Linked DNA regions of Ovis aries. The protein of the gene in region 3 interacts with the protein of the main gene of each other region in a pairwise test. Links are inferred from orthologs where the notes say so. Each region holds a gene or a part of one and is shown on either strand. Other genes may lie near its edges. The genes, in order: SDCBP, RPA1, MTUS2, SPG21, PKP2, THAP7 and FAM124B.

The links.
Region 1: the proteins of MTUS2 (region 3) and SDCBP interact in binary tests that used the Homo sapiens proteins (3 or more experiments, as listed by UniProt). The two-hybrid records come from large-scale screens. The link is inferred for Ovis aries from reciprocal best matches to the Homo sapiens genes MTUS2 and SDCBP.
Region 2: the proteins of MTUS2 (region 3) and RPA1 interact in binary tests that used the Homo sapiens proteins (3 or more experiments, as listed by UniProt). The two-hybrid records come from large-scale screens. The link is inferred for Ovis aries from reciprocal best matches to the Homo sapiens genes MTUS2 and RPA1.
Region 4: the proteins of MTUS2 (region 3) and SPG21 interact in binary tests that used the Homo sapiens proteins (3 or more experiments, as listed by UniProt). The link is inferred for Ovis aries from reciprocal best matches to the Homo sapiens genes MTUS2 and SPG21.
Region 5: the proteins of MTUS2 (region 3) and PKP2 interact in binary tests that used the Homo sapiens proteins (3 or more experiments, as listed by UniProt). The two-hybrid records come from large-scale screens. The link is inferred for Ovis aries from reciprocal best matches to the Homo sapiens genes MTUS2 and PKP2.
Region 6: the proteins of MTUS2 (region 3) and THAP7 interact in binary tests that used the Homo sapiens proteins (3 or more experiments, as listed by UniProt). The two-hybrid records come from large-scale screens. The link is inferred for Ovis aries from reciprocal best matches to the Homo sapiens genes MTUS2 and THAP7.
Region 7: the proteins of MTUS2 (region 3) and FAM124B interact in binary tests that used the Homo sapiens proteins (3 or more experiments, as listed by UniProt). The link is inferred for Ovis aries from reciprocal best matches to the Homo sapiens genes MTUS2 and FAM124B.

The regions. Positions count from the first base shown.
Region 1 is NC_056062.1:37,739,715-37,743,214, reverse strand, and holds part of SDCBP (syntenin-1), read right to left. Parts: intron 1,752-3,500; coding exon 1,673-1,751; intron 453-1,672; coding exon 343-452; intron 1-342. UniProt on the Homo sapiens protein: Multifunctional adapter protein involved in diverse array of functions including trafficking of transmembrane proteins, neuro and immunomodulation, exosome biogenesis, and tumorigenesis.
Region 2 is NC_056064.1:22,831,594-22,834,473, reverse strand, and holds the end of RPA1 (replication protein A 70 kDa DNA-binding subunit), read right to left. Parts: intron 2,048-2,880; coding exon 1,961-2,047; intron 606-1,960; coding exon 501-605; downstream 1-500. UniProt on the Homo sapiens protein: As part of the heterotrimeric replication protein A complex (RPA/RP-A), binds and stabilizes single-stranded DNA intermediates that form during DNA replication or upon DNA stress.
Region 3 is NC_056063.1:31,674,265-31,678,353, reverse strand, and holds the start of MTUS2 (microtubule-associated tumor suppressor candidate 2), read left to right. Parts: upstream 1-1,289; 5' UTR 1,290-1,446; intron 1,447-2,461; exon of another isoform or gene 2,462-2,614; intron 2,615-4,089. UniProt on the Homo sapiens protein: Binds microtubules. Together with MAPRE1 may target the microtubule depolymerase KIF2C to the plus-end of microtubules. May regulate the dynamics of microtubules at their growing distal tip.
Region 4 is NC_056060.1:11,887,484-11,890,983, reverse strand, and holds part of SPG21 (maspardin), read left to right. Parts: intron 1-568; coding exon 569-649; intron 650-1,584; coding exon 1,585-1,730; intron 1,731-3,500. UniProt on the Homo sapiens protein: May play a role as a negative regulatory factor in CD4-dependent T-cell activation.
Region 5 is NC_056056.1:182,512,061-182,516,272, forward strand, and holds the start of PKP2 (plakophilin-2), read left to right. Parts: upstream 1-1,412; 5' UTR 1,413-1,456; coding exon 1,457-1,670; intron 1,671-4,212. UniProt on the Homo sapiens protein: A component of desmosome cell-cell junctions which are required for positive regulation of cellular adhesion.
Region 6 is NC_056070.1:72,373,248-72,376,886, reverse strand, and holds THAP7 (THAP domain-containing protein 7), read left to right. Parts: upstream 1-1,140; 5' UTR 1,141-1,180; intron 1,181-1,330; coding exon 1,331-1,410; intron 1,411-1,646; coding exon 1,647-1,802; intron 1,803-2,200; coding exon 2,201-2,338; intron 2,339-2,520; coding exon 2,521-3,073; 3' UTR 3,074-3,139; downstream 3,140-3,639. Other genes in the region: tubulin alpha-3 chain, read left to right, coding at 357-653. UniProt on the Homo sapiens protein: Chromatin-associated, histone tail-binding protein that represses transcription via recruitment of HDAC3 and nuclear hormone receptor corepressors.
Region 7 is NC_056055.1:226,558,936-226,562,993, reverse strand, and holds the start of FAM124B (protein FAM124B), read left to right. Parts: upstream 1-1,258; 5' UTR 1,259-1,587; coding exon 1,588-2,319; intron 2,320-4,058.

The DNA.
Region 1 (3,500 bases), on a different chromosome or scaffold from region 3:
AGAGGTATAAATCATGGACAGGGCTACAGCAAGCCTACAATGCATAACATGAATACAAGAAACACACCAGAAGCAGAGTCACTAGGTCTGTAACTAAATGCAGAAGACAAAGGAGAATGTACCAGTTAAAGGCACCTGTATCTTTAACTCCTAATAAATCAGAAAAGTGGTAACAGCACAGAAGGAAGTAGACTGTGTAAAAAGCAATACCTAGAAGGCAATCCTGAGAAGAGATCAATGCTAAGGCTATAAATTTGTGAGTTTGCCACAAAGACGAGTTAGCTTGTATCTCTGTGTAAGGTATGATTTTATATAATTCAGAACGAATTACATTATACATACCCCATGACTTGGTGCTCCAGGGACCAAGGCCATATTTGCACGTATTTCTTCTTCATTTAAACTCAGGCCCATGTACTGAGAGAGCTCAGGATATAGCTTAGGATAGAGATCTAATAACAAATGAATCAGTAGAGAAAAAAAATTAGTAGACTATTTAAAAAAAACATTGTTATTATGGACTTTTACTTGTATTTTTAAAAATCACATTGATTTTATAAAATCTAGGATGAATTTAAATTAGTAATCTGGAAAACCCCTTTCTCTGTAATGACAATTAGAAAAGGAAAACAGAAAAATAAAAGTGAAAGTATGAAGACATTTTAACTGAAACCTCAGACTTCTAAATACTCAAGACTAGAAATAATTTTTCCAAGTTATCTTGCCTTTTCTTTCTCTTAAACCTATTAGGAATTTTCTACACATACCACTGATTCTCCACTTGAGAACAACTGACCAAAATGTACACTTCAAATCAGCTACATTTTAATTCATTCAGTAAACACAGCTATAAAATGTACCCAAAAAAATGAACTGTGAGAAAAAAAACGCTTGTAAATTTATTATCATATCAGTTTAAGAATACACAGCAATGAAATCTTTGAAACAGTACATTTCAGTATTAACAGTATTTAACTGAACAGTAGAGTTAGATACTATTTCCAAAAGCTCTTTATGTGAGTTATGGATTTTCCAAAGGAAACAATGTTATAAGATGACAGGCCATAAAAACCTATTTAACACTCCTCTTGTATTTAAAAAAAAACATTTTTTTTTTTTCACTTTATACTGGAGTAGAGCTGATTAACAATGTTGTAGTGGTTGCAGTGGACAGCAAAGGGACTCAGCCATACACATACATGCATCCATTCTCTCCCAACTCCCCCCCCCATTGAGATTGCCACACCTTTTGTATCTGAAGTCATATTATTTAAGAGTTCTGTCCTGAATTCCTATGAATTTAGAAGGAAAAGGAACAAAGGAGAAGGGTATGGAGTCAGAGTAGAGACTCCAGGATTTGGAAAGTTCCCCTAAAGGAGAACGCTATCAATCCCCACAGCCCTAAGACAGGGGACAGTTCAGTGAGTCAAGGACTTGCAAAGGGTGAAATTTAAGTAACAATTTTCATAAAGTCATAAACATACTTTCATAGTCACAGTTCACTTTCTTGATTAAAAGGTTGTTTTGAAATAAACTTACTACTAGAGCTTTAACAGCCAATTTCATGCCATAAATGTTAAAATATATATATACTCTGGATTCTCTATTTTAGTAAAAGAAGGCTTAACAGGTATCTCTGTTCAAGGAGAAGGAACCCAAAGAATAAACCTACTTCCATCTTGAGAGACGGGGGCAGAGGCTTCAGATAAAATCGCTGGGTTGGCAGGGTTTGCAGAAAAGGCAGTCTGAGCCTAAAAAAAAAAAAAAGAATTCTAACAACACTCTATAGAGACTCACTTAAAAAGACTTCTCATATAACTTAAATCCAGTAATTAAAAAAACCCCTAAAACCCTTTACTTTTATTTAGGAAATTCTAATTTCAAACACTTTAGCAATATATTTTGAAAGAAAAATAAAAAATTAAAAATATAAATATTTAACACTATTTAAAAAACTAAACACCATTCTACATATAACTAATATTTCATAGTGCTACTGCAAATATTTTCACAATGCATTAAGAAATGATAGTTACACTTTAGTCTAAGTAAAAGTACCTTTTTTACCTGAAGAAAAAAGCTTAACCATATTTACCTAAGTATATATCAGGAGAACACTTAAAAATTTAAATACTTAAGTTGCTAATATTTATTTTGCCATTTCAGCATATCCCAATGAAATGTTTATCTACATTTTACCAAGTATAAGGTGTTCAGTCAGTCAATTCAGTTGCTCAGTTGTGTCCGACTCTTTGTGACCCCATGGACTGCAGCACACCAGGCTTCCCTGTCCATCACCAACTCCAGGAGTTTTCTCAAACTCATGTCCATTGAGTCGGTGATGCCATCCAACCATCTCATCCTGTCGTCCCCTTCTCCTCCCACCTTTAATCTTTCCTAACACCAGGGTCTTTTCCAATGAGTCAGTTCTTTGCATCAAGTGGCCAAAGTATTGGAGTTTCAGCTTCAGCATCAGTCCTTCCAATGAATATTCAGGGCTAATTTCCTTTAGGATGGACTGGTTTGATCTCCTTGCAGTTCAAGGGACTCTCAAGAGTCTTCTCCAACACCACAGTTCAAAAGCTTCAATTCTTCGGTGCTCAGCTTTCTTTATATTACAACTCTCACATCCATAACTGACTACTGGAAAAACCATAGCTGTGACTAGACGGACTTTGGCTTTTTAATATGCTATATAGGTTGGTCATAGGTTTTTTTCCCAGGAGCAAGTGTCTTTTAATTTCAAGGCTACAGTCACCATCTGCAGTGATTCTGGAGTCCCTCAAAATAAAGTCTGTCACAGTTTCCATTGTTTCCCCATCTATTTGCCATGAAGTGATGGGACCAGATGCCATGATCTTAGTTTTCTGAATGTTGACTTTAAGCCAACATCTCCTCTTTCACTTTCATCAAGAGGCTCTTTAGTTCTTCATCACTTTCTGCCATAAGGGTGGTGTCATCTGCATATCTGAGGTTATTGGTATTTCTCCCAGCAATCTTGATTCCAGCTTGTGCTTCATCCAGTCCAGTATTTCTCATGATGTACTCTGCATAGAAGTTCAATAAGCAGGGTGACAATATACAGTTTTGCTGTACTCCTTTCTCAATTTGGAACCAATCTGTTATTCCATGTCCAGTTCTAACTGTTGCTTCTTGACTTGCATAGAGATTTCTCAGGAGGCAGGTCAGGTGGTCTGTTATTCTTATCTCTTTAAGAACTTTCCAGTTTGTTGTGATTCACACAGTCAAAGGCTTTGGCATAGTCAAGAAAGCAGGAAGAGACATTTTTCTGGAATTCTGTTGCTTATTCGATGATCCAACAGGTATTGGAAATTTGATCCCTGGTTCCTCTGTCTTTTCTAAATCCAACTTGAACATCTGGAAGTTCACGATTCACATACTGTTGAAGCCTGGCTTGGAGAATTTTGAACATTACGTTGCTAGCATTAGTGCAACTGTGTGGTAGTTTGAGCATTCTTTGGCATGGCCTTTCTTTGGGA
Region 2 (2,880 bases), on a different chromosome or scaffold from region 3:
GCCTTTGAAATCAAGGAAGACAGGCTTCCTAAAACACTCAAGTTCCTCCACAAAACCACTTCTCAGCACTCCCCTGGGAAGGGGCCCGAGCTGAGAAGGTGTCGCCACTGGAGAAGCGGGAACCCTGCCTACATAATTTAGTTCACTGTCTACAGATTGAGGGTCAATTTCCTGTGACATAATTTCTGGTTGAAAATAACGAGATCTTAGTAAAACTGACAAAAGCCTAAGGACAGGGGGTGAGTGGCACTACAGTCTGTGCAGCTGACCCCGAGGTCTGACACGGTTTACACCAGAGCCCTGCGAGCGTATTTCCCTTTGCTGTCAGTGGGTTCCCAGGTGTGACGAGAGGCGATGGCTTAGTCTGTGGTAGAGGGGTGCTCTGCACCGCTGTCAGTCGGGGCGGGGATGGTGGTGCGCGTGGAGGCTGGGGGTGGGGGGGGGGGGGGGATTCAATCAGCCCTCTATCCACACGCTCCTGCCCCCTTGGCAGGATCCTCTCACATCGCCGCGTTCCTCCTGATGTTCATGACCAGCCTTCTGCCGTATTCTTTGTAGTCCACAGGCTTCACATCCACCACCGTGGCCTTAATCCGAGACTCATCCTTTGAAAAGAGAAGAACGATTTGTGATGGAAGAAACACCTGTGGCCATGCTCCTGGTTTCAGTGACCCCAACAGGAGAGAGCACGAAGACATGCTGGTGGTTCAGAGTCCCGAGAGCCCAGGAAAGGAGCCGTGCTGATGAGCACCGGGGCAAAGGCCCTGCACCGGTTCCTCATGGTCCCAGACACTCGGAAACCTGGACTCCAACAGAGCCAGAAACGGGAGCCCAGAAGACAGTGGCTTGCTAAAGCTACGCCACGGGCTCTGTGAGCGGGCGGTAGGAGAGCAGCCGTGCTCGCAGCAGAGGGCGAAGCCTGCTTCGGCCTGCCTCAGCTCCGTGAGAGGCGACCTTGCTGCCCTTCACCACCCCTGCCCACGCCACACAGGGACCAGTGACCCTTCCACCCCTCCCCCTCGACCACCCCCACCCCACCCTGACACCACACTGCTGACATCGAAAGGCTCATTTAATGCTCACAAAACCAGGCACAGCTGTTAGCAGGTATTAGGGTTCAGGCCTGACAAGAAAGCAGAGCAAGCAAATCCTGAAACAAGCAAGGTTTTCTGAATTCTCCTGTCGCCTGTTCACCAGGTTGGACAGTGCCTTCAGAGGCAGACTGGGGTGAGGCCAGCTCAGGGCCTGCACACTCCAGCTCTGTACCTACAAAACCCAGTCAGATCTCTAAGCATGTGTAGAGCTCTGAGGCTGGACTGCCTACATGCAATTATCAGCTGTGCCACTTGCTAGCGTATGAATTTAGGCAAGTTACTCAACTCTCCGTAACTACAGCTTTTCACTAGCAAAATGCAGGCAACAACAGTTCCTTCACACAGGGTTACTGCTAGGATGAATGGAGACGAAGTATGCAAAGGGTGGGGAACAGTATCTGGCAGATAGTCAGCACTCAATAAAGGCTGTTTTTTCATGATTTTATAATTGTATGACGTTATGAGCAATTAAAGGAATTTCCAAGGTAATGTTAACCACATGTGGTCTTTCTCTCATATACTGACTTTAGAACCCAAACCATGGGGAAGATGGGGTTTGTGTCTGTCAGGACACAAACCAAAATCCCCCAGGTTTTAACTGAAAAGGCCACACAGCATGTTTTCCTTGGCTGTTATTACTGGACATGACCCCTAACCTCTCTCTTGGTCTGTTTGCTCATCTGAAAACAGAGATGGTAACAGCACCCTAATGTTGGTGACTCAGTGAGTAATACATGCAGGGTGTTACGAGTTGGGTCTGGAACACAGTAAGCGAGGAACTGACAGCTAACACTGTAGTGGGGTTGTGGGTGACAGACGAGAGTTCTATGCTGCTACCCTCACGCACCACGGGTGACGCTACTTACATTGTAGGTCTCCAGTTTGACCCTGATCCTGAACGTAAAAGATCGAAAGTTGGCATTCTGGAAAACTTCCTCAAATGCTTGCTCGTTCTGCAGAAACAAAACGTAAAACTGTCAGCATGGAAACTACCAGACCACCTTAAATTATCTATACGGTTTTTAAAAAGACTTGGAGGAAAATCTCTGAGAAAATGATTACCTCCCAGTGGCTTGAAATTTCTTAGGAATGACTAATATATAGGTGACATTTCATCGCATAAAACTGTTTAGGTAGAATTTTATTAAAAATTAAAATACTCTACCTAGAGTACTCAATTTCATACAGACAGAAAGTGGAATGATGGCTGCCAGGGGCAACAGACAGTTAGTGTTTGATGGGTACAGGGTTTCAGCTGAGGAGGATGAAAAAGTTCTACAGCTGGATGATGGTGGCAGCTGCACAGCAATATGAAGGTATTTTAATGCCGGTGAACTTATACATGTGGGCTTCCCTGGTGGCTCAGCTGGTAAAGCCACCTGCAATGGAGGAGACCTGGGTTCAGTCCCTGGGTTGGGAAGATTCTCTGGAGAAGGGAAAGGCTGCCCACTCCATATTCTGGCCTGGAGAATGCCACGGGCTGTATAGTCCATGCGGCTTCCCTGGGTTCAGTCCCTGGGTCGGGAAGATCCAGCGGAGAAGGAAATGGCAACCCTCTCCAGTACTTTTGCCTGGAAAATTCCATGGACGGAGGAGACTGGTAGGCTATAGTCCATGGGATTGCAAAGAGTCAGACACGACTGAGCAACTTTACTGGTTCACTGGTATAGTCCCTGGGGTCGCAAAAGAGTCGGATACGACTAAGCGACTTTCACTCACTCACTCACAATGGTAAATTTTACGGATATTTTATCACAATAGAAAAAAACTAAACACTCTTAAACAC
Region 3 (4,089 bases):
GCTTCAAATATTAACTGGTGTAAAATACTGCTTAATGTGGTAGTTAGGACAAAGACCCCTAAAAAGTTGAAAGTCAAAGTGTTAGTCGCTCAGTCCTGTACAATTCTTTGTTATCCCATGGACTGTAGCCTGCCAGGCTCCTAGATCCCTGGAATTCTCTAGGCAAGAATAGTTAAGTGGGTGGCCATTCCGTTCTCCAGGGGATCTTCTTGACCCAGGGATCGAACCCAGGTCTCCCCCATTGCAGGCAGACTCTTTACCAACTGAGCCACCAAGAAAACACTTCTAATTAGGGCGGGGACAAGCACCCACATTTCATTTTTATAAAGGCAAAGGCTTATCCCACTGACATTTGAACCCGAGGCAGCGGAAGTTCTCTGACCTGGCTCACCTCTTGAAGCCTGCCGCACGAACTGCTTAGGGAAGCCGGGAGCACTTATTTGAGAAATAAATCAACATATTTATTCCCGAGAGGCTCTCTGGCACCCCCTCGACCAGTGTTAGCCGCCTTTGGTGTTTATTAGACACAGATAAACCCGATTCTCGAAAGAAACGCTTGCATTTTTCGCAAACCTTTCCAGAGGTCAACTTGGGGCCCCTCCTGCATCAGGAGTCCCAGTGCCCTCCACGTTTCTCGTGCTGGGTCCCAATTCCTGCTGCAGCTCATACTGGAAGCTGTTCCCAGGGGAGAAGAGCAGACCCCCCCCCCCCCCCTCCTCGAAGCCCCCTGCCCCCGGGGGCGCCGGGACGTCGGGGGGCCGTGGCGGCGCGGAGCCGGAGCAGGACGCCGCGCGCACGGCGGCCCCGGGGCCGGCAGAGGGCGCTGCGGCCTCCCCGGCGGGGCTGCGGGGCTGCGGGGCGCGGGTCCCGGCGTGTGCATCTCGGGGAGGCCCGGACGGGGAGCGCGCCTCTCCGCCCGCCCGCCCGCGCGGTCCCCGCCGCCCGCACCTCTCCGGCCAGGCGCGCGGGTTGCGCGGCGCGCTCCGAGGCCCGCGCTTCGCCGCACCCCCCTCCCATCCCGCTCCGCCGCTTCTCTTTGTCCCGGCAAGGCGGCCGGAGGGGCGGCCGCTGCATCCGTTGGGGGGCTTCAGCCTCCGGGTCCGCGCTACCCCGCCTTCCCCGCGCTCCGAGCCTGGGCGGTGCCGGCGCGGGGTGAGCGCGGGGCGCGAGCGGGCGTGGGCGGGCGGCGGCGGGGACCGCGCGCGGGGGGCGCCCCTGCCTCCTCCGCCCGCGCCGCCGCCGCCGCCGGCTTCTCCCCGCAAGTTTGTGGCCCCCCCACCCACGTCTGCGGACCTGCGCGGCCGCTTGGCCGGGTCTAGACCTGTCGCCAAAGAGGAAAACTCGAGCTGGAGGCGGAGGAGGCGTGCGGGAAGCCAGTCCGCAATGAGCCTCTCCATCAGGGCAGCGTGGCTTCCTGGGCACCTCCCGAGGCTATTTCCCACCCAGGTGAGCGGAATCTCCTCTGTCCCGTCCGGCCGGGTCTGGCGGGGCCCCGGGGCCGGCGCTCTCGGACCCTGCGCGGAGCCGGGGAGCGCCCGCCGCGGGGGCGCTGGGCGGCGCGGGGTTGATTTGGGCTTTTCTGCCATCCGAGCGCTTGTTCTTTCTTGCCTGCATCACCTGCTCCGGCTGAGGTTTTTTTTGCAGCTCCTCCGGCACCTTCGCATGCTGTCAGGTTAAACATCCTCTGTTTTCGAAGGGCTGGTAGGTTGGTTCAACCGAATCCCTACCTCTCTATCCCCCACCCCCACCCCAACAACACCCCCAGCTTTGGATAATTTGTTCTGCCTCTTCGTCTTAATTTAGTATGAATGTGTTATTTCCTTTGAGCTGTGTAATGGTAAAGCAGCGAAGCGGTTTGCTACATCCATTTTTTTTCTCTTTTTTTTTCATTCTGAGCCTGTGCACAGAAGGAATTTCAGGCGCACAAGTGATGTTACTACCATTCTATTTTAAATACAAACACGGAAAGAAGTACTCTTGGCAGGGTACCAAAGGCGCCTGTACTCTCTGTTATATAAGTGCTTTTTAAAAAAATATTTGCTCATTGGTAAAGTTATAAAAGGAATTACCAGAGCATCTCTGAAGAGAGGGTGAAGAGAAGTCAGAGCCACAATTTCTGCTTTAAACCTAAACTTTCCTGGAAGATGAACATGGTCTTAGCTGGAGATAGCCTTAAAGATAACATAGGGCCCTTTCTTTGAACTCATTAGGTAAAATTGTAAAACGTTAAAAAAATAGAACAGTTTTGTAAAGGCTCTTGAGAGACTTGGTGAAAATTCTTGAACCACGTATTGATAGTAATAAAAAAGATCCCACAGATATTCTTTGTGGCTTTTAAACTAGTGACTTATTTTATTTTTTATAGCTGATGGAAACTCAGTAATTATGAGCTGCCAGTTATTAAAGATTTAGATAACCTTTAATATCTCTACTTGTGTTTATGGATATTTTTTTTTTTCAGGGAAGAAGACAGAAGTAGGAATATCAAGTATACTGATGTCTGGGCACTTCCTTTTGTGACCGGCACCTCAGTGTTCTGTTCTAATTGGGTTTTGGTGATGCTGTGATATTTGGAATGTTAAAAACTCCCTAGTGATTCCAATCTGTAGCTGAGGTGAGACCCATAGGATAGCACTGTTTCTTCTAATTTGTCACTTTGTAGCCCAAGGTGTGGCTACAGTGGTTTAAAGAAAGTAAAAAACAAGTGGTTAGAAATATGGGGAGAGAAAAATGGTATAGGAAGGGAGATATGTTGAAGAATTATAGCATGTTCACGTCTGTATTTTGTCAAAATATCTTCTTGATTTTTAAAAAATCCACAAGGAGTAGTTGATATTGTTGTTTAGTTGCTAAATCATGTCTGACTCTGTGCAACTGCATGGACTGCAGCCCGCCAGACTCCTCTGTCCATGGGATTTCCCAAGCAAGAATACTGGAGTGGGTTGCCATTTCCTCCTCCAGGGGATCTTCCCAACTCAGGGATCCAACCTGCGTCTCCTGCGTTGGCAGCTGGGTTCTTTACCACTGAGCCACCAGGGAAGTCCCCCAGTAGTTGATGTTTATCGGGATACATGGTCCCCTGTTGACTAAGTTGGGAAGTGGGACATCTCTCTGTGCAGAAGTGACAGTGACGTTGAGTCGTGGTGTCAAGATACTCCTTTCTGTTTACATGGAAAGACGGTCAAGATTTATTGAAAGATCATTCTTTCTATCACATTCAACACTCATTAAGTGAATACAGACTAGCCAAAAAAGTGCAAAAAAGCTTTTATTGTCTTTAAGTTTGGAAATAAACTTGGCTGCTGAATCAGTGTTTTCTTTCTACCTTATGTAATTTCCCAATATTGCAGTCTAGGGGTGGATCTTATGGGTGGTTTGTGAAGGCTTATGTAAGAGCTGCGACTATGCTTTTCGTATTCTGTGAAACTCCCTGTTTTGGCTATTACATAATTGACACAGTGCTGGATGGGAGAAGCCCAAACAGGGAAAGGATGTACAAGCCCAGCCCAGCACAGGCGCTTTCATAATGAATCGCTGCTGCCAAATTAGAGGGAACAGCAGGGATGGAGGTTTGTGAAAGAGAGATAAGAACAGCGTCCAGAGGACCGATGTAAGAGACGACAGTTCTGCTTAGCGGTTTTCTGGAGATTTTAATGCTGCCGTATTAACCTCTCTAGCCTTTTGTGTCTCCCAGCAGAGGCGCCTTGACGGGGAAGCTAATGAATGTTAAGCTTCAGGGGCCCTTACTCTGGCTCCATCCAAGCCCCCGGGAGGGACACTGGCAGCGTGCTCTCCTGGCCACAGAAGTTTGCATTTGTAATTGTGGATTTTTTTTTTTTTTAATAAGGAAGACACTCTCTGCCTCTCACCTCCCATACGTCATATAAATGTAAGGCTCTACAAACCCTGAATCTCCCGTTTCCTAATTAATGTTCAAATGTTAACTTTCAAAAATGCTTTTTCTTATTTCAACATCTGAAGTCTTATGAAAAGACAAAAAAAAAAAAAAAATCTGGCCAATATTGTAGCTGAGCTGCCGAGAAAATGCAGATTGCTAATAGCAGGGCTGAGTGGTATTATCAGGAATCC
Region 4 (3,500 bases), on a different chromosome or scaffold from region 3:
ATGACCAAGTGGCTAACATACTTTCACTTGCGATTTGATGACTATCTTTAGTGTTTTGTTTGGATCAATTTTTCTTTTCTATGTGTATCTATTGTAGATTTTTGGTTTGCAGTTACCATGAGGTTTTGATATAGCGTGCTCTCTCTCGCTCTCTCTCTTTCTCTCTGTCTCTCTCTGTACATACATACACACACACACACACACACACACACACACACACACACACTATTGTTCTAAGTGCTGGTCTCTTAATTTCAAATGCATTTCTAATGTCTTGCATTGTAATTCTTGCTATTTGGAAAGGAAATTGATGTGAATTGAAATTGTTGTATATGTAGTATCACTAGAGTGTGATTTTTATTTTTATTTTTTAATTGTTCTGTTAGATAAAATTGGAATTTTGAAGTCTAGGATAAGATGAGAGCTTATTTTCCCATGTTTTGAAAAAGGAGCAGAGATTGAGCAAATGAGAAACACTGTTGTGAGAGCCCTAAAGTTTTCAGATACGTATGAATTGTATTTTACTTTTACAGTTTTTAAAATAAATTTAAAACTTGTTATATTCTAGTTGCAGTATCCAGTTTATTGGGACCACCTTGAATTCTGTGATGGATTCAGAAAACTTTTAGACCATTTACAGTTGGATAAAGTGAGTACCTTAAAACTAGTTACTCACATGTGATTTTATTTATTTATTTTATTTATTTTTTTCACATGTGATTTTAATGCAATGATTACATCATTGTCTGGTGTTGTCTTTTATTTTTTAATAACAGCTCTTTTGAGCTAGAATTCACATACCATACAGTTTACCTTTTTAAAGTGTATAATTCACTGTTATTTAATATATTCAGAGATATGTGCAATCATCACAGCAGTCAATTTTTGAATATTTTTTCCACCCCAAAAAGAAACCCCATACTTAGCAGACACTACCCTGCTTCCTCCCTGGAGCCCTGTCTGTGGATTTGCCTGTTATGGATATTTTATATAAATATAAAGATGTAATTTGTGGTCTTTTGTGACTGGCTTTTTTCACTTCTCACGAGATTTTCAAGGTTCATCGATGTTGCAAATTCTATCAATAATTCATTCCTTTTAATTGTTAAATAAAATCCCATTGTATGGATAAAACACATTTTATTTACCCATTCATCACTTGATTTGTTTTCCACTGGTTAGTTTTTATGAGGGATGTTGCTATGAACATTCTTACACAAATTTCTGTGAAGACAGATGTTTTCAGTTCTCTTGAATACATGTCTAGGAGTGGAAATACTGAATTACCGAATTAAAATTTCTGTTTTCTTAAACAGAAACTGCAAAGTAGTTTCATTTTCTAATGTAATCTGGAAATAATATTTTTTTTAACTACTATAACTTATGCACCATTGTATTGTTTCTTGACAGGGTATAGACATTGCATTTAAACACAGTATTTCCTAAACTTCTAACTGCTGTAAATATTTCAGTCTAATGACTGGTGATAACATTATATTCTGTGGTTGGTGATAATTAAAACAGTTTTTTGATACTTAAAGATCAGTCATTGTTTTTAGGATCCTTGTGTTTGTTTCCGATTAGGTTCATCTCTTTGGGGCTTCTTTGGGAGGCTTTTTGGCCCAAAAGTTTGCTGAATACACTCACAAATCTCCCAGAGTCCACTCCCTCATCCTCTGCAATTCCTTCAGTGACACCTCTATCTTTAACCAAACATGGACCGCAAACAGGTAAGAATGTAAACCTTCGACCAACAGTTTTGTTATTTTCAGTGGAATTGAAAATGGTGATGTTTGGTTTTTTTGAAGCATTAGGGAGGGAGGGGCCATATATACTTTTGTCTTCTGAAACCATCCTGGCTTTTAGCATTAGAAATGGTCACCCTTGCAAAGGAAAAGAATTGAAAGAATTCTAACTTCAGTGGTTCCCGTTACTCTAAATCATCGCCTGGCTTTGTGTATTATGGTTCCAATGCCTTTACAGTTTCCCTTCAGAGCTTATCTCACTGATACTGTGTTCTGCTTGCTCCACTTAGTATTTTGTGTACAGAGTTCTGTGTAATGACTGTTACATTTTTTTTAAGACCTTGGGCTTCTCTCAATTTTTCATCAGGTTCAACTGTAAATCTTTGTGTGTAAATTACTTTTGTTCTTCTCTTTCTGGGTCATTTCCTTGAGATAGGTTCCCCGAAATGGAGAGACTGTTTAGTTCGCTGGCACTTGTACAACATTAGTCTGCTTTTTAGAAAGATGGAGAGGGCAGAATGTTTTGCAAGGCAACCAGTGGGGTACCTGCTTTCTCTGAGCCATCCCTTCATTGATTTTATCATTTGAATTAGTTTTATAGATGTCTAATGGTACCTTAAAGCTGACTTCACTATATTTCTTTCATTGCTAGCAAGGCTAGGCTCTACCCCCCAAAAGTAGCCTATTGACTTAACTTACCTGAGTGATCAGATTGGTTTTCACAAAATGTTCTAGGTAAACATTGTTTTCATGGTTTTCACAACTATTTACTATTGCATTCTGATTTTTAAAAAAATGTTTCCTGATGTTTTCTCGCTTGTTTACTCAGCATTTGTGCAGCAGTTTCTTGTATGCATTAGACAGATACTTCATGTCAATATGATGCAAAAATCGTTCTTTTTGACGAGTTTTTCATGTTGTTTTGATTGTCAGAAGCCAAGATTTCCCCCACTTGGTGCTCTTGCGTATCAGGAATTTTTTTATCAAATGTCTGAGTACTTACTATGTGCCACACAGAGGCTTCAGGGGTGAACAGAGCCAAGAGGATGACCACCCCTCCCACTCACCCACAGAAAACACCCAGGCAGCATCCCCTTTAGAAGTTAAGAAGCTGTTGGGATGGGTTGGAGTTGAGAACTTAGATCATTGAAGGTGACTGAAAGATGGCTAACTGGTCCTTATGAGGGGCGTTTACTGAGAATGTACATCAGAAGGTGGTCTGTACCTTTTATAAGTTATTTTCAGCATAGGTTTAAAAAAATTCATGTTTATCCTATATAAGGGCTCCCAATGTAATTAATGGAGTACACTCTTAACTAAAGATCACATATAGAAATACATGAAGACTGAATTGCCTTGAATTAGCCCAAGAATCCACTAGTAGCAATAGTAGGTATAATAACTCTGTGATTTTACTATTTTGAAATCTATCCTTTAATGTTAATCAAAGGGTGATATAAACCTTCAGATTAATATAGTAAGTGTTCAGTTTTCCACAAGTAGCTTAGCCATTGAAAATAAGACCAACTAGAAAATAAAATCTTGGAATTATCAGAATGTTTATTGCAATAAAGGCATTTTGAAATATTGCTTATAATTATTCCCAATCCTCAAAAGTTTGATCATATGAAACCATAACTCTTTGGGAACTTGAGAAAGCATTTATAAAAACTAGATGCTTCAAAACTAGCTCTTTGAAGGAAGAGACTGGGTTTTTTAAATCTCTAAATCCCAAATGCCTAGTTAATACAGAGA
Region 5 (4,212 bases), on a different chromosome or scaffold from region 3:
GGAATTGCATAGAAGACCCACCATCTACATGGCTTCACATGGCTTCCCATGTGGCCAGCTGAGCAAGGATGGCAGAATTGTTGCCACTCCAGTTGTCCAGGCTTTGGGCCCCTTCACTTCCTATTCATCCCCTGGAAGGCCTTATACTGTGCTTTAAGTGTGTGTGTAAAGACAAAAGGATATGCCATAGGAAAACGGAGACAGGAGAAGCTGTGTTCTCTAGCCACCAGAAACCTGAATAAGTGAGGTTCTGCAATAACTCAGTGATTTGAGGTAGAGTGAACATAGAATCCCAAGTAATCAAATGGAATTTATCTTATTACCGGGGATAGATGTTTTTCCTTCTGCCTCTCAAGTCCAAAGAGGGAAAGCCGGATGAGTGACTTAATTTGAAAGCTTTAAGGTCAAGGGCTCTTTCTGTTAAGTTTAGCTCATCATGTTCTCTGCAGTTAACGAAGTGTGAAACACAACTAATAGCAATACATTGTGGAATACACGACTGAAAAGTCATAGACTCCTTCCATGGGATCCCTACAAAGAGTCTATCATAAAAAGGACTTTAAAAGTATCAGCTATTGAAAGCGTGCTTGCTCTCTTATCGGAGCTTCTCTGTGTGGGAGTGTTCATAAGAGAGGAGTGGGTGAGCAAGACTGTACTGGGTACAATTTGTGTATGTGCAAGAGAAAACAGAAACTCTCAGTAAGGAAGAACATATGTTTCCGGGACTGCATCTGCGCAAAAAGGACAGTCCCTGAAACTGTACGAAGGGGGAAGAAAAAAAAAACTATTTTAAAAACTCATTTATTTCACACAGATCGTCTTCTCAGCACATTTCCCTCCTACTGCCTTCTTAAGCCTGATCAAATAGCCCCTTCTCATCTCAGATCCAGGAAATGTTTCGAACAGTCTGACAGAGCCTGACTGAACCAGACAGACTACTCCCTCGGAGATCCCAGAGGCAAACCTCGGCCCAAGAACAGCACTGACCCTCCAGGGAGCAAGTGCCTGCAGGTCGACCCCGGCAGTCAGGCGGAAATCACGTCGTTCTCGAGGGCTAGGCGGAGGCCAGGCGAGGCATAGAGAGCGGGGTGCGGCCCCGGCCCGCAGGATCCGAGATGACTCGGAGAGTGTGCACGCCCCACGGCGGACCGCGCCCCTCTCCCGCTTCCTTGTGAGCAGTTCAACTCGCCAGGTGTCGGCGCGCGAGGTCCGCTCGGCCCAGCTCCCTAGCCGAGTGCTAGGCGCGCTAGAGCCGCGCCCCTCTCCTGCCTTAGACCCAGCTCCGGCCTCCGAAGGCCCTGCTCTCCTCAGCTCCGGCCTCTCACCGGCGCGGGGGCGGGGCCGGAGGCGGGGCCGGGGCGGTGGGGCGGGGCTTGCACGGGTGCCCCGGGCTCCGCCGCAGCTTCTCCCGCAGGTCTCGCGGCAGGCAAGCGGCTTGGTCCCCAGCTCCGGCCTCATGGCTGCTCCCGGCTCTTCGGCGGAGTGCGGCTACATCCGGACAGTCCTGGGCCAGCAGATCCTGGGGCAGCTGGACAGCTCCAGCCTGGCTTTGCCCTCCGAGGCCAAGCTGAAGCTGGCGGGGAGCAGCGGCCAGGCGGTCAAGAGCCTGCGGATCCAGGAGCAGGTGCAGCAGACCCTGGCCCGGAAGGGCCGCAGTTTCGCGGGCAACGGTGAGTGCAGCCCCGCTGTCCCCTACACCGCCCTCATCCTGCCCTTTATCCCTTCCCTACTCCCCGTTCACCCTCAGCGCCCGGTTGCTTCCTCTTGCTTCTTCCTGAGGGTGCAGGACCCGGGTTCTGCACACCTGTTGGTTGCCGGCCCATTGTACGGCCAGTCGTGCCTCCAGACTCAAACCAGCTTACTTTGGAAAAGCACTCTTTCTTAAAATTACCTCTTACTCAGATTTGTCATGTATGTATCTACGTATATTAAATGCATATACGTGTGTATAAATATATATATTTGAAAAGAATTCAGTCCAAGATTTTCACCCCTTCCTTAACCTACTCCCCTAGGCCGTCCACCCCAGGGGACTTCATCTGAAGGTTCCAGGAATTTGTAAACACTTTGAAATTCTGTGCAGAAATTTGATATAATCATTTTTTTCTGGGAGAAAGCGCCCTGAGCTTTTATTAAAATTTTTAAAGGATCTGTGACCTCCATAAATATTTTTCAAAAGAAAACCTGAAAGTACTGGCTCTCCTACAACCTATAAATTGGGATTGTGGGCCTTGCCTAGATACTTCGGGGCACTCCACCTCGTGTATGGAGCGAGTGGTTTCATCTAGGAAGTGAAAGGTAGGAGACTTTGGGCTGGGGAGCAATCACACCACCCCGCGGGTTGACTAGGAAGAGGAGAAGAAAGAAGGGGACTTTGACCCGGCCAGCAGCAGTCCCGCCTGCCTTGCTTGCTTGTGCCCCGCCAACGCACTCGTGAGTACAGCGCTGGTATTTACAAAAAAATTAAACTTTGGAAGTGAACAAGGTTTGGTGGTTTTTTTGTTTTTTTGTTTTTTTTGTTTTAGTAATTGATAGTTAAGGAGGTGGAAGGGGAAGAAGATGGCAAACCAGTTCTGAAAATTAGAGAACGTGAAATACCTTTTCTCTCTTGCTAAAAGTCAGATGATCAGAGCCCCCCAGTAATTATTTTATTAGTTGTTTAATTTTTTAATATAAAAGTATTCTAGGCTTGTTATGGAAAAGAGAAGAGGAAAGAAACAGTTAAGTTGGGTTACCAGTTGTTTCATGCGATGTTGAACTGTTTGTCTAGGAAGTTAACTGGAGAAATGACAACTGTAGAATCGATTAGGAAAAAGAAAAATGCTTGCAGACCAGATCAGAGATCTAAAACCGCAGAAACTGAGAGGCTGTATTGTTTTCCATTTGTGTAAAATAATTTTAAAGGGTCAGGCAATCAGTATTTACGTACTTGAAAGGTAAAGAGAAGCTGTTTAATGATTAGAGTTGATATAATTGTGTGCCTACTATGTGCCAAGAATTGGACTTTGTGGTGTGTATTCATTATGTTATTTATGTTTCCAGGAAAAAACAATGCTTGTGAGGTAGGTTGCTTTACTAAGCAGTTAAGTAACAATTTCCCACAGATAGTAAGTAGCAGAAAAACTCCCAAGCCTTAATTTTTAAACTACTCATCAGTTACTTTGTTAAGCTTTTTGGTAATTAATACAAAGTAGGATTTTTATTAGACCCAAGCCTGTCTATGGTCCATTCCCATTTTTCCTTTAAATATAATTGATAAAGTTCTGCGAGAGTGGAGACATCTCAGTGACACAGAACTGCCATAGCACATGGAAAAAAAGAACCTAATTTACATTTAGGAATCTGACTAAAGATCCCAGGACAACTGAGGCCAGTTTTTGACCAGTGAGATCATTGTACCCCTTTAGTCTGTGCGGATCCAGTGCTAAACTGGAGCCAGACTAGCTGCTTCTGCATAGGGGAACGCAAGGAAGGCACATGAAATATTTTTCCTACACTTTGAGAATGGCGAGGAAGAGCAAGCAGACATCAACTATTCAGTAAAAATAGGGAATGAACAAAAGGAAAGGGAGCATTGCTGAGCGTCTACTCTGTGCCTAACCCTGTTCAAGATTATGTTTGCATTTTATTGTATCCTTCAAATAGTTACATGAAATAGATGCGAGGATCCATTTCACATATGAAAAGTCTGTCAGTCTCTCAACATTTATTGGACGCTTAGTTCCAAACCCACACATGATTTTTCTCTTGAAAATGGTGCATTCATGTTGTGTGGTGAATTCAAGAACTTTCTGTTGTGTCTAGTCTTCATCCAGGGCACTGCTGCAGGTGCTGAACTAAACATACACTCTTTTTGCTTTAAAGCAAGGAGTTCAAAGTCTGTAGAAGGAAAATGCTCTCTAAAAAATGGGTTAATCAAATAAAAAATGGCAAGCTACTCAAAGGAAGAACAGCCAACAAATTATGAAGTTTAGAAGTATGAGTTAGACTATTATCTGGAGGGAATTTTGAAAAGTTTCTTGGAGGAATTGGGATTTTAGGTCTCAAAAAAATCAGTAGGATTGGACATAGGTAATGGGTTGAAGGAAGAGTGTTCTAGGGGGAACAGCAGGAATATTACACAGTTCACAGAATTGATATGGTAGAACAAAGGGCCCTGTCATGATGCTTCTGCTGTAACTGCTTGAGTCCAACTGAGGAACAAAGCTTCTG
Region 6 (3,639 bases), on a different chromosome or scaffold from region 3:
GAAGACAGTTCACCCCGACGGTGTCGAATCCTCACTTGTGAGTCTGGGTGTGGCGTCACGTGTTGACGACCGTCTGTCACCATTTTCCTGGAATCTTTCCCCACGTTTGTATTAGGTTTTCTCATTATAAAAGTGTGTATGTGGCAAGATATTTTAGTCATGCAGAAGGCTGAAAAGCTCAAGTCCCTTCTAGAAGTGAAAACGTGGGATATTAAACTGCCAGATCCTGCCGAAAAAGAGAGTACCCGTTCCTACAGGGCGTCGTCTGAAGTGGGTCCATGGCCCCCATGCTTAGAAACGAGCTACCATTTCCGAGGCCTCACTCCCAAGTTGAGCATGTTCTCTTTCTCCGGCAGGTGGGCATCAACTACCAGCCCCCCACGGTGGTCCCGGGGGGAGACCTGGCCAAGGTGCAGCGGGCCGTGTGCATGCTGAGCAACACCACGGCCATCGCCGAGGCCTGGGCCCGCCTGGACCACAAGTTCGACCTCATGTACGCCAAGCGCGCCTTCGTGCACTGGTACGTGGGGGAGGGCATGGAGGAGGGCGAGTTCTCGGAGGCCCGGGAAGACCTGGCGGCGCTGGAGAAGGATTACGAGGAGGTGGGCGTGGACTCGGTGGAGGCGGAGGCCGAGGAAGGGGAGGAGTACTGAGGGGGGGGCGCGGCCGCAGCCCTGCACCCGGTCCCCCGACGGCCCCTTCACAGATGTTTCCCTATTAAAGTTTTTGTGTTGAGCATCATCTGTGTATTGCTTTGCGGGAAACGGTGTTCCTCCCCACGGCAGTGTGGCGGCAGAGCCGCACGTCTGTCTGACTCTGCCGAGCGTCACCGGGCGCGTTAACCCGGGAAGGAGCGGGGGCGGAACCGGGACGCGCGCTCCACCTACACACGTCGGGTCAGCGAGCTCCTCGGGGCAGGAAGCGGACCCGAGCGGGTCTGCGGATCGGGGCCCGCATCGCGCGCCCCGGAGCAGCGGCGCTGGAGCCACCCCCAGCCCAGGGCAATCCCCGCTGCCGGCACCACCCGGATGCGGGCGGCCTGGGCGAGGCCCGCGGCCCCTCCCGCCGCTTCCGGGGCCCGCCCCTCAGCGAGCGCCGCGCGCTTCCGCGTCTCTATGGTCCCGACTTCCGCGGCTCGGCAAACCTCGCGAGACCTCGGCGGCGCCGCAATGGCGAGACCGTGAGTGCCGCAGACAGGAGTCGGAAGAGCGGGCTGGGGCGGGACTCGGCGAGGTCGGGCCGGGGAGACTCTCCAGGCCGCGGCCGCCGGAGCGGGGCGGCGGCCTGGACCCCGGCGGCCGCTGAGACCGAGCGCCCGCCTCTGCCCCAGATGCCGCGTCACTGCTCCGCCGCCGGCTGCTGCACACGGGACACGCGCGAGACGCGCAACCGCGGCATCTCCTTCCACAGGTCGGCGCGCAGGGCCGCTTGCGCATGCGCCCGCCCCGCCGCCGCGCACGCGCCTTCGCGCCGGGGGCGGGGCTCTGGCGGGGCGCGCAGCGGGCGGGGGCGGCGCCTGCGCTGCGCGAGGATGCCGGGCGGGCCTGTCTCCCCGGGAGCGCGCGGGCTGGGTTCGCAGGAGGTCCGCGGGCGGTATGAGCCGGGCGCACCTTCCCGTCGCGCTCACGGGCTCGCGGCCCCCGCAGGCTTCCCAAGAAGGACAACCCGAGGCGGGGTTTGTGGCTGGCCAACTGCCAGCGACTGGACCCGAGCGGGCAGGGCCTGTGGGACCCGGCGTCCGAGTACATCTACTTCTGCTCCAAGCACTTCGAGGAGAACTGCTTCGAGTTGGTGGGAATAAGGTGAGCCTCCTGGCAGCCGGCGGTCGGGAGGGCGTGAACATGGGGCGGGTGGCCGGTGGGGAGGCCGCCGGAGTAGCAGGTCTGGTGCTTCCCACCTCGTCACCTCAGCTTCCGCTCCAGGCGGACCTGGGCAGCGAGACCCTAGCCCCACGCCTGCCGCACTGGCCACAGGCGGAGCGCGCTCCCTGCAGCCCCAGCCCTCCCAGCAAAGGCGCGGAAGAAACCCGTCCTTCTGCCTGCTGCTCCGGTGGTGGGGGGGCCCTTAACTTGGGAAACTCCCTGAACTCATTGTCGGCACGCTGCCTCCCACTTCCTACGGAGCCAGGGTGGCAGGCTGCTCTGCCGCCTGCAGTGTGGCAGGACTGTGTTCCGTCTCATCCAGACCACTCTCCCCGCAGTGGGTATCACAGGCTGAAGGAGGGAGCAGTTCCAACCATATTTGAGTCTTTCTCGAAGTTGCGCCGGACCAAGACCAAGCGGCACGGTTACCCGCCGGGCCCCCCAGAAGTCAGCCGCCTGCGGCGATGCAGGAAACGGTACGTGCTGTCCCGCTGTACAGCCCCGGAGGGACCGGCCTGCAGGGTGCTGGCCAGCAGCCTTCCTGGGCGCGGCTGGGAGCCTGTGGAGTGGGCTCAGGGATGGGGGTGAGCGGGGCTGTGAAGCGGGTCAGGGCGCGCTGCGCCTGGCCCGGCGTGTCAGTCTGTTTGTCTCCTCCCAGCTGCTCTGAGGGCCCGGGGCCCACCGCTCCATTTTCCCCTCCTCCACCTGCTGACGTCGCCTGCTTTCCTGTGGAAGAAGCCTCAGCACCTGCGGTCTTGTCTGCCTCCCCAGCCGGGAGGCTGGAGCCTGGCCTCAGCAGCCCCTTCTCCGACCTTCTGGGGCCCCTGGGCGCCCAGGCAGATGAGGCGGGCTGCAGCGCCCAGCCCTCCCCAGAGCGCCAGCCGTCCCCCCTGGAGCCGCGGCCCGCCTCGCCCTCGGCCTACATGCTGCGCCTCCCGCCGCCCGCCGGCGCCTACATCCAGAGCGAGCACAGCTACCAGGTGGGCAGCGCCCTGCTCTGGAAGCGGCGGGCCGAGGCCGCCCTGGATGCCCTGGACAAGGCCCAGCGCCAGCTGCAGGCCTGCAAGCGGCGGGAGCAGCGGCTGCGGCTGCGGCTGACCAAGCTGCAGCAGGAGCGAGCGCGGGAGAAGCGGGCCCAGGCCGACGCCCGGCAGACGCTGAAGGAGCACGTGCAGGACTTTGCCATGCAGCTGAGCAGCAGCATGGCCTGAGGGGCCACCTGGACAGGGAGCTGCCCTGAGCCGTGTCTGCCACAATAAAGGGGATCCTCAAAAGAAGCCCTGCTCTCTGGCTCAGCGGAGCGTTGGGGCCCCGCCCCCTGGGTACCACGTCCATCTCCCCCGACTGGCTATAGCCCGCTAGAGGGCTCGACCCTGCAGTCGCGGTGATCCCCAAGCCCCCAGGCTGGCCGAGGCCCCCCTCACTCAGGCCGTTGCCGAACTTCCTGTGCCTCCAGGTGAGCGCCCCTCGACCGAGCCTGTCCACCCACCCGCCACCCCCAGGCCCGCCAGTCAGGCTGGAGGTGTGGCAGGCCCTGTGTGGATCCTGGGGGCACAACCTGAGGCAGGAAACGAGCTTTAAGGCTCAGAAGACTGTTTTCCCCTAAGTGGCTTCCTGGCAGCCTGGGCACAAGAGCTGTTGTTCCCAGAAGGGGGGCAGAATGGTGCCTTACCCACTGGGATGGACGCAGGGCAGAGGATGGGGAGGCCCAGCCCCGCCCAGGCAGGAACCTCCAGGCAGCTCAGGAGTACGGCAGCCAGCAAGGGGCCAGGAGAGG
Region 7 (4,058 bases), on a different chromosome or scaffold from region 3:
CCAACCCAGGGATCAAACCCAGGTCTCCCACATTGCAGATAGATTCTTTACCAACTGAGCCACAAGGGAAGCCCAAGATTACTGGAGTGGGTAAACTATCCCTCCTCCAGCGGATCTTCCCAACCCAGGAATTGAACTGGGGTCTCCTGAATTGCACTAAAAGCATTAATAAATAGCTTTTTAAAAATTACAGTTAGAAAAATGTGCTTGTCTACATTTTTAGTAGCACAGCTATCAGAATTCCTAATGATTTTTAAATGGATATTTAGAACACATTAGGGTAGGTGTTATGTTTAGAGCTTGGGTGTTATTGAGTATTAGCCATGCCTTCCTCCAAGGGATCTTCCCAACCCAGAAATCGAACCCAGGTCTCCTACATTGCAGATTCTTTACCATCTGAGCCATCAGGGAAGTTTGTATATTTAGAGCTTGGATGTTCTTATTGAGGATTATTCAGTTTGAGATTCAACAGCACACAGAGTCTCTGAGAAATAAATGTCCTTAATGAGAACTTGCTTGGGCAGCCTTTCCTTATATTCAGGGAGAAAGTCCAGTCTGGGACATCTGGGTCCCAGAGAGGTACCTTCTCCCTGGCTCACAGCGGGGCCACTCACTCAGTTCCTGGATTCAAATGTTCCCTCAGCCGCTTTTAGCTCTGAGACCTTAAGCAAGTTACGTGACTTTTCTGTGCCTTAGTTTCCTTCTCAGTAATTTGGGGACAATGGTCTCTTCATAGGTTTGCTGGAGGATTAAACCAATTTACGTAAAGTTCTAGAACAGTTTATGACTGGTATGTAGTAAATCCTCAACAGAGTGAACAAAGATTATTATTGACCTTAGAAAGGTCTCACTCTTTCTAAAGAATGGGCTTGAGTAAATATCTTTTGAATACACTTGGCAGCAGAGAGAATCATTTTCAGTGAACAGTTAAAATTATTTGGATATAGTAACTTCTCTTCAAAGCCCAGGCATCCATTGTTCAAGAAGAAAATAAAAAGACAAAGGGGGAAAATTCCTGGCCAAGGGACAAGTTGGGAGGATTGTTTTAAAGCAGTCATTGTGTTCAGGTGGCCTGGCGGGCTACTGTAAACAGGGAGGGAGGGAAGGAGGAAACCAGAACCCATTGTGGGCCCAGAAAATGGATGTCTTTTCAACTAAACAGATTGCTATCAGCCTCTCACAGCCGATTCTTATTCCTTTTTGCCTGGTCATTTCCTTTACCGAGTGTCTGTAAGAACCACCCACTCGAGTGTTTCTCAGGATTATAGGTTTTTAGGTCAAACAGAAACCCCGGAGTGCCTGACACAGCCCTGCACTCGCAGTTACATTATACACCGGCTGGATGACATGGACCCCGCTGCTGGTGTGTGTCTCATGGAGGCTATTGTCCCCGAATCTGTGGAGATTCTCTCACAGTGTGGCCAGCAGCAACCAGGCATACAGGATAAGAGCGTGGCTCTGAAGTCCTGAAGCTTTCCTGTTGGGCTGAAGGCTGAATGTAGGAACCTCCCACCCCTCCAGTTCATTTCAGAAGCCGGACCTGCGGGCCCCATTCGCCAGCATCCTTTGTCATCCTCAGCATCCACGATGGATGAGATACCGGAGGCCCCGGCCATGACTGTCCACCTCCTGGCCAACGCGGGGCAGGGCTTGCTTTTGCAGCAAACCCTGGATCGGCTCCTAGATTGCATTTGCCCAGATATCCGTCTCTTTCTTGTGTCCGAGCGGGCCAGTCCAGTGAAATACTACGACAAGTGCTACTCCAAGCGGTCACGCTTCCCGGGGATGTCTGTTCTGCTTTTCTTGCAGGAGAACCTAGGCGAAGAGAGGCTTTTCCGCGTGCTTGACTCCCTACAGCATTGGCCGTGGCAGTGCTACCCCACGCAGAACGCCCAGGGAAGACCCTGCCCCTACATTCTTGCCAATCAGGAATTCTACAGTCTGGACAGCCAGATGCCCATCTGGGGCGTGAGGCAGGTGCACTGTGGCACCGAGATCCTGAGAGTGACACTCTACTGCAGTTTTGATAACTACGAAGATGCCATCCGGCTCTACGCAATGATCCTGCAGAGAGAAGCCACCTTGCAAAAGAGCAACTTCTGTTTCTTCGTGCTCTACTCCACTGAGACCTTTGCCCTGCAGCTCTCCCTGAAGCAGCTGCCCCTCGGAACATCGGTGGACCCCAAAGAGGCTTCAGTGTTGCAGTTCAAGGTCCAGGAGATTGGCCAATTAGTGCCTCTTCTACCCCATCCCTGCGTCCCCATCAGCCGCACCCGGTGGCAAACACAGGACTATGACGGCAACAAGATTCTGCTTCAGGTATGTCTGTTTGGTCTCTGTGATCTCTAGATGCCCGTGTAGCCGTATGATTTGACAGCCAAAATCATGTTGTGGTTCTCAACCTTCTTTGCATACCAGGATCTCTGGGGAGCTTTCAAATCTTCTCATGTCATGACTTCACTCCAGATCAGTTAGACTGGAATCTTTGGGGGCACCCAGGCTTGGGTATTTTTTGAAAGCTCCTTGGATAATGCTAATATATAACTTATAGCACAGTTGAGAGTCACTGGTTTAATCAAATCCCCTCATCTGACAGGAGAGGAAGTTCGGATGCTGTGAGCTGGTAACTTACACAAGTAGTTTGCAGTAGACTCAGACAACGTCCCATTTTTCAGATTTTCCTGTAACCATGCTCCTTAACTAGACACCAATATTTTGCCCACTCTTTCAGTTCAGAAATTTCGTTAGTTCTTTCCATGTGAACCTAAGAAAGCTGAAGTTATGATTAAAGTTGGGAATGTTAAGTATGTTGGGCTTCCCTAGTGGCTCAGTTATAAAGAATCTGCCTGCCAATGTAGGAACGTGGGTTCGAGCCCTGGGTTGGGAAGATCTCCTGGAGAAGGAAGTGGCAACCCACTCCAGTATTCTTGCCTGGAGAATCCCATGGACAGAAGAGCATGGTGGGCTACAGTCCATGGGATCACAGAGAGTCAGACATGACTTAGTGACTAAAACAATAACAACAACAAATGGTAAACGTGCCATCCTGTTGACCTAACTATTAAGTATCTTGCATCACTCTGAAATTTTATCCCAAATCAAGTTAGATGGTTAGAACCCTTCAAAATTGAGAAAAGCTTGAATTAAAAAATCTTCTGGTAAGCATCCTACTGAAAGCAAGCATAATTACAGTTACCACAAGTCATTTCTTATACAATATTATGTGACAGTTGAACCTTGCCACTTAGTAGCTCCATGATGTTTGAACCTTGTTTCCTTCGTTAGCACAATGAGGGTAGTATAACATCTTCCTAGAGGACAGGTTGTTATTTAACTAAGTGACCTGACATTTATAAAGAGCTTAAGCTAGTGCCCAGAAAGCAATTTTAGCTGTTATTGTTTATATTATGCCCTGCTAAGTTGCTAAGTTGCTTCAGTCGTGTCCAACTCTGTGCGACCCCATAGACGGCAGCCCACCAAGCTCTGCCGTCCCTGGGATTCTCCAAGCAAGAACACTGGAGTGGGTTGCCATTTCCTTCTCCAATGCATGAAAGGGAAAAGTGAAAGTGAAGTCACTCAGTCGCGTCGGACTCTTTGCAACCCCATGGACTGCAGCCTACCAGGCTCCTCCATCCATGGGATTTTCCAGGCAAGACGACTGGAGTGGGGTGCCATTGCCTTCTCTGATACTATGCCCTAGACTAAGTACTTCACTTTGATTATTTTAGTTAGTCCTTCTTACAACCTAGGAAGTTTTACAAAAGGCAAAACCAAGGAGTAGAGGTACCAGTTACTTGCTCAAGACACAAGATTAAGTGTTTACCTGGCTCTGAAACCAGGCAAGTTAACCACCACAGTCCAGTACTCTGTAAGTGTGTGTGGGCAGGGAGGTGTACATGATATTCACAGCAAAGTTCCTGTCCTTGAGAAATGGTCAGGAAGTGCTTTAAGACCTACTGGATAAGGTAAAAGCAGGCTAAAAGATGAATTATCTTTCCCTTTGATTAATTTTATTCTCATCAGCTTTGAGTTATTAATAAAATATGAGTCATACTGAT